Linked DNA regions of Drosophila melanogaster. The protein of the gene in region 1 interacts with the protein of each later gene in a biochemical or structural test. Each region holds a gene or a part of one and is shown on either strand. Other genes may lie near its edges.

What was found. Proteins that work in one complex are often made in the same cells at the same time.
Region 2: of the proteins of tkv (region 1) and Smurf, one has a biochemical effect on the other in vitro, tested with the Drosophila melanogaster proteins (one study listed by BioGRID).

Annotation. Positions count from the first base shown.
Region 1 is NT_033779.5:5,241,081-5,245,720, reverse strand, and holds the start of tkv (thickveins), read left to right. Parts: upstream 1-1,581; 5' UTR 1,582-1,645; coding exon 1,646-1,739; exon of another isoform or gene 1,740-3,022; intron 3,023-3,100; exon of another isoform or gene 3,101-3,502; intron 3,503-4,214; coding exon 4,215-4,352; intron 4,353-4,543; exon of another isoform or gene 4,544-4,615; intron 4,616-4,640.
Region 2 is NT_033778.4:17,591,283-17,595,848, forward strand, and holds the start of Smurf (SMAD specific E3 ubiquitin protein ligase), read left to right. Parts: upstream 1-1,508; 5' UTR 1,509-2,030; intron 2,031-2,185; 5' UTR 2,186-2,567; coding exon 2,568-2,622; intron 2,623-2,683; coding exon 2,684-2,722; intron 2,723-3,984; exon of another isoform or gene 3,985-4,001; coding exon of another isoform or gene 4,002-4,566. Other genes in the region: icln, read left to right, coding at 1-484; CG30105 (uncharacterized protein), read right to left, coding at 604-681, 746-1,135; ND-51L1 (NADH dehydrogenase (ubiquinone) 51 kDa subunit-like 1), read left to right, coding at 4,002-4,566. UniProt on the Drosophila melanogaster protein: E3 ubiquitin-protein ligase which accepts ubiquitin from an E2 ubiquitin-conjugating enzyme in the form of a thioester and then directly transfers the ubiquitin to targeted substrates.

The sequences.
Region 1 (4,640 bases):
GCGGGCCAACTTGTTGTAAACAAATTGAAGTGGCACTCAGTGATCCCCTGCTCCGCCGCTCTTCTTCTTGTGTTGGCCATTACCAATTGCACTCGGGTTCAACCCTTACCCTCGACCATTCCCCATACCCAATTCCCTGGGGATCGAATTGGATGGGATTGTATGGACGGAGTGGTATAGGATGGTATGGCATGGGGACGTGCCTTCATTAGGCCATGCAGAGCGCGTAGGCAGAATGTGTAAACACACATCGATTTCCATTCCGAATGCGTCTCGTGTGCTATGCGTAATTTTAATTGATTTCATTTACGCATTTTTGACTAATGTTCACACGCCGATGCATCGGACTGGCGGGGGGTGCAGCTCATTTAGCATGGACTCGGCGCGTTGATGGACAGAATCCAACTCCAAATGGCTGCATCGGGGAATTTATTTTTGGCCCTATCGTCCCACTCTCGCATCCGCCGTTCGCCTGGTTTTCCCCACCCAGAAAAAAAAAAACCCAAAATCTGTAACATAAATTTCACTTTGATCTATTTTTGAGTGGCCAATGCAAGTTTGCTAAATTCTGTTCAGCAGAAGGAATATTTAAAATTTTTAATTGCTACTAGAGTGCGCGCACTCAGCGGCGACGACCCAGTTTCAAAACATCTTTGCTGGCCAGAATCTCGACTGGGTTAGGGGATTTCTAATGGTGGTGAAAAGGAGGGAGCACTAATCTCTAGATAGCATTTTTATGTTACGAAATATACAGTTTTACTCTAATTAATGTGTGTGACACATACTATTTTTAGCCATCTTCATGCATAAGCATCTTATAAAACAGCAAAAACATGGTATTACATGTAGGAAATGTGATTCACTTTCGCTAAACACAACTTTAAACGCACCCCCACTTTGCTAATTGCCCATTTTGGCTATCGTAACTCCTATTTTACTTCACTTTTGATTGCCTTGGGGTTTTCTTCCCCATTCTGCCATCAATCTCCAAGTTGACATCCCAACCACGAGCGATTTGGAAAGAAACGTGTGACTTACCGAACGATAAACTGAAAGTAAACCTCCAAGTTGCCTGGGCCATCAATCAATCAGTCACTTAATATGAATATGAAAATATGAACCCGAACCCACAACAAATGCAATGTGGGTTTATCTGGCGTACATTCGCCATTCATTATTCATTGTGTGTTTTTCCTCTCGCCAGCCAAGTTTTCTTATCTCAGGCAACAATGTTGGCCGCGTTTTTCTTTGGGCCACTGTAAGTGCAACTTGAAAGGCGATTTTTAGGCCATTTTTGCAGTAAATGTAGCAGTACTTGAAGCATTTTGTAGTTGGACAAGGTTCAATGAGCAGGCAAACCGCTGAAAAGCCCAGTTACCCAGACCACACCCAATTGATTTTCACTCACTGACCATCTGAGAGATGCGTTTATGACACCAATCGACTTGAAATTTAAACAAGCAATATTTTAGATACATAAGCATGCCTTGACTTTACAATCAGTTGTTTTATATATTTTGCTTGTAACACACTTTTGATAACATGAAGAAAATTTACTGTGTGAAAAATTGTGAAAAACTTATTTAATGTATGGTTCGTATAAGGTGCCGTCCTAGTGCTTCTTGCGACCCTGGCAGAGAGATTGATGCGCCTTCAGCTGGTGGCCCTTGAACTCCAGGCCACATCTGGGACAGCCGACGGTCTGTTTGAAGAGATTGCACTAGAGGCGCTGACGCGGAGTAAGTTCGTCCTCGCTGGACAGCAGAGTAGTCGAGTTGCTGTTCAGCTCTGTGTAACCGGAGCTGCGAAGAATTCGCTTTGATGAATTTGATTTCGATTTGGTGCAGCGTGATGTGGAAGATCCCGAGGAGGAGAAACGGGTGTCCAAGTCCTTTGAAGTAAACGATGGCGGTTCCAAGCACACCATAATGGTACCGCGCTTCATTTTCTCAAAGCAAATGGGACAAGATACGATGTCGTTGTTGAGCAAGTGGGCTGCACGGTGTTCTTACGCTGCAAGTCTTTCATCAGGATGTCTTCTCCAAAAACATCGTCAATAATGGATTGATCAGCTAGTTCCGTGGCGGCTGTTAAACTGTCATTTGCCGGCCGCCTCATAATCGATTGAAAGGGTATTGACCTCGCACAAGGTCAATTCATCCTCCATTATCTAGCGCTTGATGTTCTGCGTGCGCTCCTGACTGCTCATGGTGTTCCTGCAAGCTGGCATCTTTAGCTCATCCTTTGACTGCGCTGCTTCTGTTCATCAATTTTCTTCATTTTATGTTATTAAAAAATATGTTACTATATGGAAGTGTTTGAATTTACATTAGAATAGCCTACTATGTTTTCGACCTAGTGTCATAGAGGCCTAACATTTTTGCCATTTGGCTGGGAGCCATTCAATTCGTTTGCCATGCAGTCGGCATTTGCTTTTATTTCTACGTAATTGCGAATCTTTTGAAGCGATGCGAACTATATCATCGCAGTACATTTTCCTACCCGTATGCATATTGATTGATAGCCAATTTGCACGTGCTCCACTTTGTGCCTGGGTTTTGCTTATTGTCGCCATGTTCTGCCCATACGAAATCAGTTCCCCTGGTCGCAGTTCTTTGGCTGCACCCACATGGATTGTCACGTTTGTGTTTTGTTTTGCTTTTGAGTTCTTGGAAATGTGTCGAACACAAGAGCCGCGAGTTTTCCACCCAGCAATTTGCAATCTTTGATAGATGGCTTATGTAACTGCCAGAGAGTGTAAGGCACAACACAACACAACACCAAAGTGGCGAAAATATTAGACGCGTCGGGGGAATTACGTCGTTTGGTCTGCGGGTTTCGAGTCGACAAGTGCAAGGCACTCAATCAATTAGCGATAGTCGATAGCCATAGACATGGGCTTTATCAATGCTTCGGTTAACTTCGTGGTTGCACTGGAAAATATTCGAAACTAAGAGGAGTTAGAAAGTCAAATTTTAGCAAGGCACTTTCAGCTAACAAATATTATATTGCTTCTTAAGTGTTGCAAAACTAAAAAATATCGCAAACCCCCTATCGATATCATTGAACTTTTTTTTTATTAATAATGTTTTTATTACTGTGTATAGCGGTTTCCCATAATTTACACCACTCATGTTACGCTAAAGTTTTATTGAGTTCCATTAATTTACGACTTTCTATGGTCGTAATTAAGATTATCCTTTGCTCGCGCTCCGCAATTGCCGCCGATTTTCCATGAATGGCAGCTTTTTATCGGACCTGCACTCGCATAATTCATTTTATCATTTTGACAGATTCGGAATGGAATAGCGACTTTCCTCGCCCACCCAACACGCGTACGAGATTTCAATTGCCCGTCGAGTGGCACACATATATTATACCAGCTCTCGAAATGAGACGCATCATAAATAATAACTAATGTTTTGATAAGACCCCAATGAGCGCCAACCACTTTTTCTGTTTATCAAATTACGTATGAAGTTTGCTCATTAATTTTGGCAAAGTGAGTGTAGGGGAAACATGGGTAGTGTAGCACACAGAAACCCCTGCAGGAGGCCTAACCCCTTTCGCTGAGATTGGGTCTGAGTCGCTTCCGCTGATTTGCACTGAAAGTTGCACAGTGGGGTTTTTGCACCTCGGTTTTGTATCTCGAGAAAGGGGGATTTCTTGGTCTTCAAGTCGCGCTCATTGCGTGGGCTTTGAGCCGTCGAGGAACGTCATCCTCCAAGTCTGTGGCGTGCAGACGACAGAACTAGACGTAATCTCGGCGAGCTGTCAAACAGTATCTTAAAGATGCCTCTCCGACTACTTGGCTGGCAACTGGTTCTGAACGCAGCCGTCTGCGGAGAGGCACTAAATTCTGCGGCCTTTTGACCAAGTTTATGACACACGTTTAGCTGTCTAGTTGGCCCACGCTCATCCGCTTTCAGCAGGAAGAGAGTTGAAGTTGCCCATTCTCCGTTGGTGCGACTCCCCTTTTCCTCTCCATCGCCCCTATGTGTTTCTATTTTCAATTAAGATCTCGTATTTCAGGCGCCCGACAAACGGGCAATTGTTGTTGTTAAATTATTAATTGACATTTGCCTGGCGCCACAGAAGAGCAACTCAAGTGCCAAGACTCCCACCCGCTCTCCCTTTTTTTGTTTACAAATTAGTTACACAGTTTTTCAATTTACTTATATTTCGTATTGCCCGTTTTTCTGTTTGCCCCGTAGGTGAATTCAGTGCGAATGTTCAGCCAGACGTCGAAGCTATGGCCGCCGCCGCTTTGAGTGGCATGGAAATGGGATCTGGACCAGGATCAGAGGGATATGAGGATGCCGACAACGAGAAAAGCAAGACCGTGGAAAATGGTGAGTCTACCATCTTAATAAAATGATTTAAAAAAGCGTGTTATAAATCAGCATCGAATATTTTGCATATCTTATCTTATTTTATCTTATATATAATATTAGTTCGGATTAATATAACTTATGATCATAACACTCGGATGTATAGATCAACAGCAAGTTTATATTTTGAATTTGGCGACCTAAGTTCAACATCCTCGATAGTATAGTGGTTAGTATCCCCGCCTGTCACGCGGGAGACCGGGGTTCAATTCCCCGTCGGGGAGATGTGTAAATAATTTTTTTTTTTTG
Region 2 (4,566 bases), on another chromosome or scaffold:
TGAGTGGAAGCAGGTTAGCCTGCACGGTATCTCTTCGAATCCGAGAAAGTGCATCTACTTCATGCTGGACCACAAAGTCGAGTGGAACGGCGTCTACGGAGATCCTCCCCAGCAGGCAGTCAATGGTCGGAATGGCGGTGGTTCGGAAGCGGAAGTGGACGAGGGAAATGGCAGCGATGAGCACGATGAGGACGACAATTTCGAGGATGCCGTAGACGAGCAATTTGGAGAGGTCACAGAGTGCTGGCTTATGCCGGAGGACATTCACACCGTAGACACTATGTACAGTGCCATGACGACTTGCCAGGCCCTACATCCTGATTCGGCAAACAGTGATTCGGAAGACAGCGATCCTATGCAGGATGCCGGTGGCTTAGAGGATGAGGCTATGGAGGAGGATGATGCATTGACGCTTGGGCGCAACGGCGTGCAGAATCTCAGTTTGGACGACGACGAAGAGCGATTCGAGGACGCTGATGAGTGAAGCATAACCTATTTAAACATCAATACCACGTTTTATACCAGATAAAATGTACGATATATATGTATTGGATTAGATTTTGGAGTAATAAATAGAACGCGGTAAGCGCGATTAAAACAAAACTACGTGCTTTCCTTGACGTTTTCCTTATTACGAGCGATTTCTTTCTCTAAATCCTCTTCGCTAATGGGCTGCGAGAGCTAAATAAATAAAATGTGGTATTTATTAGGTGTACTTCGAGAATATATAGTGGTATATACATACAGCTTGAGCAACATCCGGCAGAGGAAGGGCCTGTCGGTAGGGATCGCCATTGGACGGCACTTTGTCGTAGTTCCAGTAAGTAAAATCTTGAAATACTCCAGTTAGCCGCAACTTTCGGTCGGAGGTATCGCTGATGGGCTTCTCTGTTTCTTGCAGAACTAATCCGCAGTATCCTTCGGGCACTTTCAACTTCTCTCCCATTAAAGGAAATCCGCGCAAGGCGTTCGTCAGGATTCCTGTGCCGAATTCGGTTGCTTCACGTGTGTAGTTGTTGAAGTAATTTTTTACATTCGCTTCCCCATCGCCGTCTATTTTGGCCGGCAAGTAGTGCACGTCTAAATTCTTACCCTTGGCAAAGTTCTTACCATTAAAATCTAGAGTAATTGACATTGTTACTTTTTGCGCAAAATAAAAGGTAAACAAAAACTCCGCCAAAATGTGTTTGTTTGTTTGCGCTTAAGAAGGATGGTTTGAGTAGCAGCTAAACTCATCGATTTACAACCGATAGCCAATAGTAGTTTAATTCGATAGTAACAATATAACAAAAACATACAATTATATTGTAAATCAAAGCTTGTAGATGGTAACGAGATCACTGTTTACCATCACTGAACAAGTTTTCATGCTGTTTTAAATTTAGTATCTGACTACATACGTATTATATATATATATTTGACAATATGCGATGTTTTCCAAGAATATTAGCACTAAAAAATCGATAGTATAAGAGAGTAATCGATTTTTCACTCAGCACTAGACTTTGTGCCACCACTAATAAAAATGGCGTTCGAAGTTGTAGTTAAATTTTTATGGGAATCCGTAAAACAATAGCGCGTGAGGCCGCGGCAGCATAATTCGCGCACTATCAAGCGTTCCGTGGACGAGCAACTGTGTGGGCGTGCGTTGTTCGCAGAGTTTTCGTCCGATTTTTAGTGAACTAGAACAATACAAGTGTGCCTCCTTTGATTATTATTGCAAATTTTAGTACCACACACACTCGCGCACACATCGATAGCGAAGGAAATACTAGTGCGAGTAAATAGTGTGGCACCCATACTGGAGCAGCGACTAAATTAAAGTTAATTAAACACACAGTGGTATTTCATTTAATGCAATTTGTGAAATAATAGAGTGGCAGAGGGAGAGAGACAGATCGAACCCCGCTCCCGCTCTCCCCTGCAGCATGCGTGAACTGCGTCCGTGTGTGTGTGCGTGAGAGAGTGAGCGAGACATGTGCGTGTGAGGTGCAGCAGCAACAACAACAACACCAGCAAAACAATTTCGGGTGAGTTTTTCGTGAATATTTTGCCTACCTGAACGATTTCCTACCTACGCCCTCGCTTTTGGGTTGGGTTTTTGCACTTGGGGGGAAAATACACACATTATCTCTAACGAACTTACTAATAATACCCATTTCCATTTGTTATCTTTGGATTGCAGCCTATAAAAAAAGCAAATCGGTGTTATTATTTATATACAAATATATCTATGTGCGTGTGCCATGACACACAGCAACAAACGCAAAAACTACAACAATTGCAACCGTCAAGGCTACCGCCACAGCAGCAGCAGCAACAATAACAACTGCAGTTACCTTCGGCAATGAAATTACCTCTCACCGCCCTCACCTGCTCCTCCTACACCTCCTTTGCTTCCTCTCCTCCACCTTCTACTTGCACTTCTTCTTCTTCGCTCTCCGTTCGGCGCTTTAACGACAACAACAACTACAACAACATGCCCGCGACATATAAATAATCAATACACAAAGTAAATCCATTTATTTTTATACAAATCAAACAATATCAATTAAAAGTCGAAAATTATGAATAAATTGGATTACCCACGTCGCAATGGTACACACAAAGTTCGAATAACGAGTAAGTCTGCTGATAAAAACAATTGTTAATAAAACCCACTAATATATCGCTTTACTTGCAGTATTGTGTGCTAGAAACTTGGCCCGCAAGGATTTATTTCGTAAGTATTTTAATATTAATTGGATATATCTTAGCATCTAATTTCCTTAGTGCCTATCACCTATCCGTCAAATAGGACGGTCTAAATTAGTTCCTAAAGCAGAACTTCCGGTCATCAAAAGCATAAAAGTTTTACCCTGTACTTCTTAATCGTTAGTGTTATAAAATATTAAATGTAACAGCAAAAAATTCCTTAAAACTATTTACCCAGCATGCCTTTGGCGTAATCACTTATTTTCGTAATTTGCTCACATGTTTGGGCTAATTTCTTGACTCACTTTTGGTTAGTTACGGGAAATTTGGAGCAGTTGGCATTCGCCAGACCCAGCAAGCTTTGTTTTCACGTTTGGTTTTCTTTTCGAAAACCATCAATTACGCACCTGTTTAGCCGTCCAATCGAAACACACATTGTGGTAAATTAAAGTTTTGTTTTATTTGCGGCGCTTGTGGTGCTGCTGTTTCCTCTTCTTCACATTCATCTATGCATATAAGGTATCGCTAAATTTAGCACTTCCTTTCTTGTCTACTTTCATTTTTATACAAATTGCGGAAAAGCCCCCTCCCCCCATCGCGCCCATCAAGTCGAGTGGGTGAGTGCGAGTGGTGCGCCATATCTGAGCTCTTTTCCCATATTTTGTTAGATATAACAAAAGTGATTATTACTAATTTGCTTTCATTGCGGCTCACTCACTCGCTCGTCCACAAATACAATCGCAATATTTTTTCTTTCTGTGTATTTGTGATTTACTATTCGCTTTTTCCACTTCTTGTCCATTTTTGTACACTTGGTTGCACTTAAATCACGCGCCACGCATTGTTCAATGTGCTACTAAAAAAAAAAAAAAAACATTCGATGTTCCTTATCCGTGAGATTCCAATAGGGGGATATTTGGGTTTCCGAAAATGGGTCTGTGGCCGCTGGTGTCACTTCAAATGAATTGTTTATTAATGCTAATGCTTGAATTCCGTGGTTGACTACAGAATATGGCGCATTCATTTGCTATTTTCCCTCTACTACCATATACATTGTACACTAGTAGTTGGTTCTTCATATTTTATCGATTCTTTGTGATAAGATTTTAGTTGAACCCAGCGGGGCTTACGGTCATTATAGGGAAAATCCATAATGGGACTTTCCGATATTCGTTATTGTGAGTAATGTAAACTTTTTTAACATATCAAGTTCGAAAAATGTGGAAGTAGTATGCTTTGAATTTTCCTTTGATTCAACACACTTGCCAAAGAGTTCAGTTAATCAGATAAAGAATATAGACGAAAGCATGATATCGTTTCTGTTAAAACGCCGAGCTTGTGATGCTTACAAGATTTCATTAGGACTAACTCGTGCATATAGAGCCTTAACAGAAGTAAAAAGCCTTCAAAATGCCTTACGACCTGGTAATAAAACTGGAAATATCAAGCTGGTAAACATATACCGAACTTCTAGCATACAAAATGTGAAGAAGAACCAACTAAGTGACGCTGAAAGCGTTATTCCACTCTTATTGCGGCCAGCCAAACCTGTGCTGATTATGAGAGAAGGATCTCAAACCGATTGTAACGACGATTTGCTGTCCTCTGAGCAAAGAGCCAAAAAAAGGGAAAGCATAAAAAAATCCGAAGTAGATTGCCCAAAATTTCCAGCTGAGAAACTTCCGCCCACAACGAAATTTCCTATTAATGAAAATGCCAAGAAGGTTTTAGATCCAGCCGACCAAAGAGAACTCGAGGCCAATTTGTTAAAAAGGCTTAAAGATATGGCTAAAAGAAAGAAATCTCGACTAGATGAGAAAGTTGACGAGCTGAGGGATAATTTTATAGGCTGGAATTATGCTGCTCTACAAG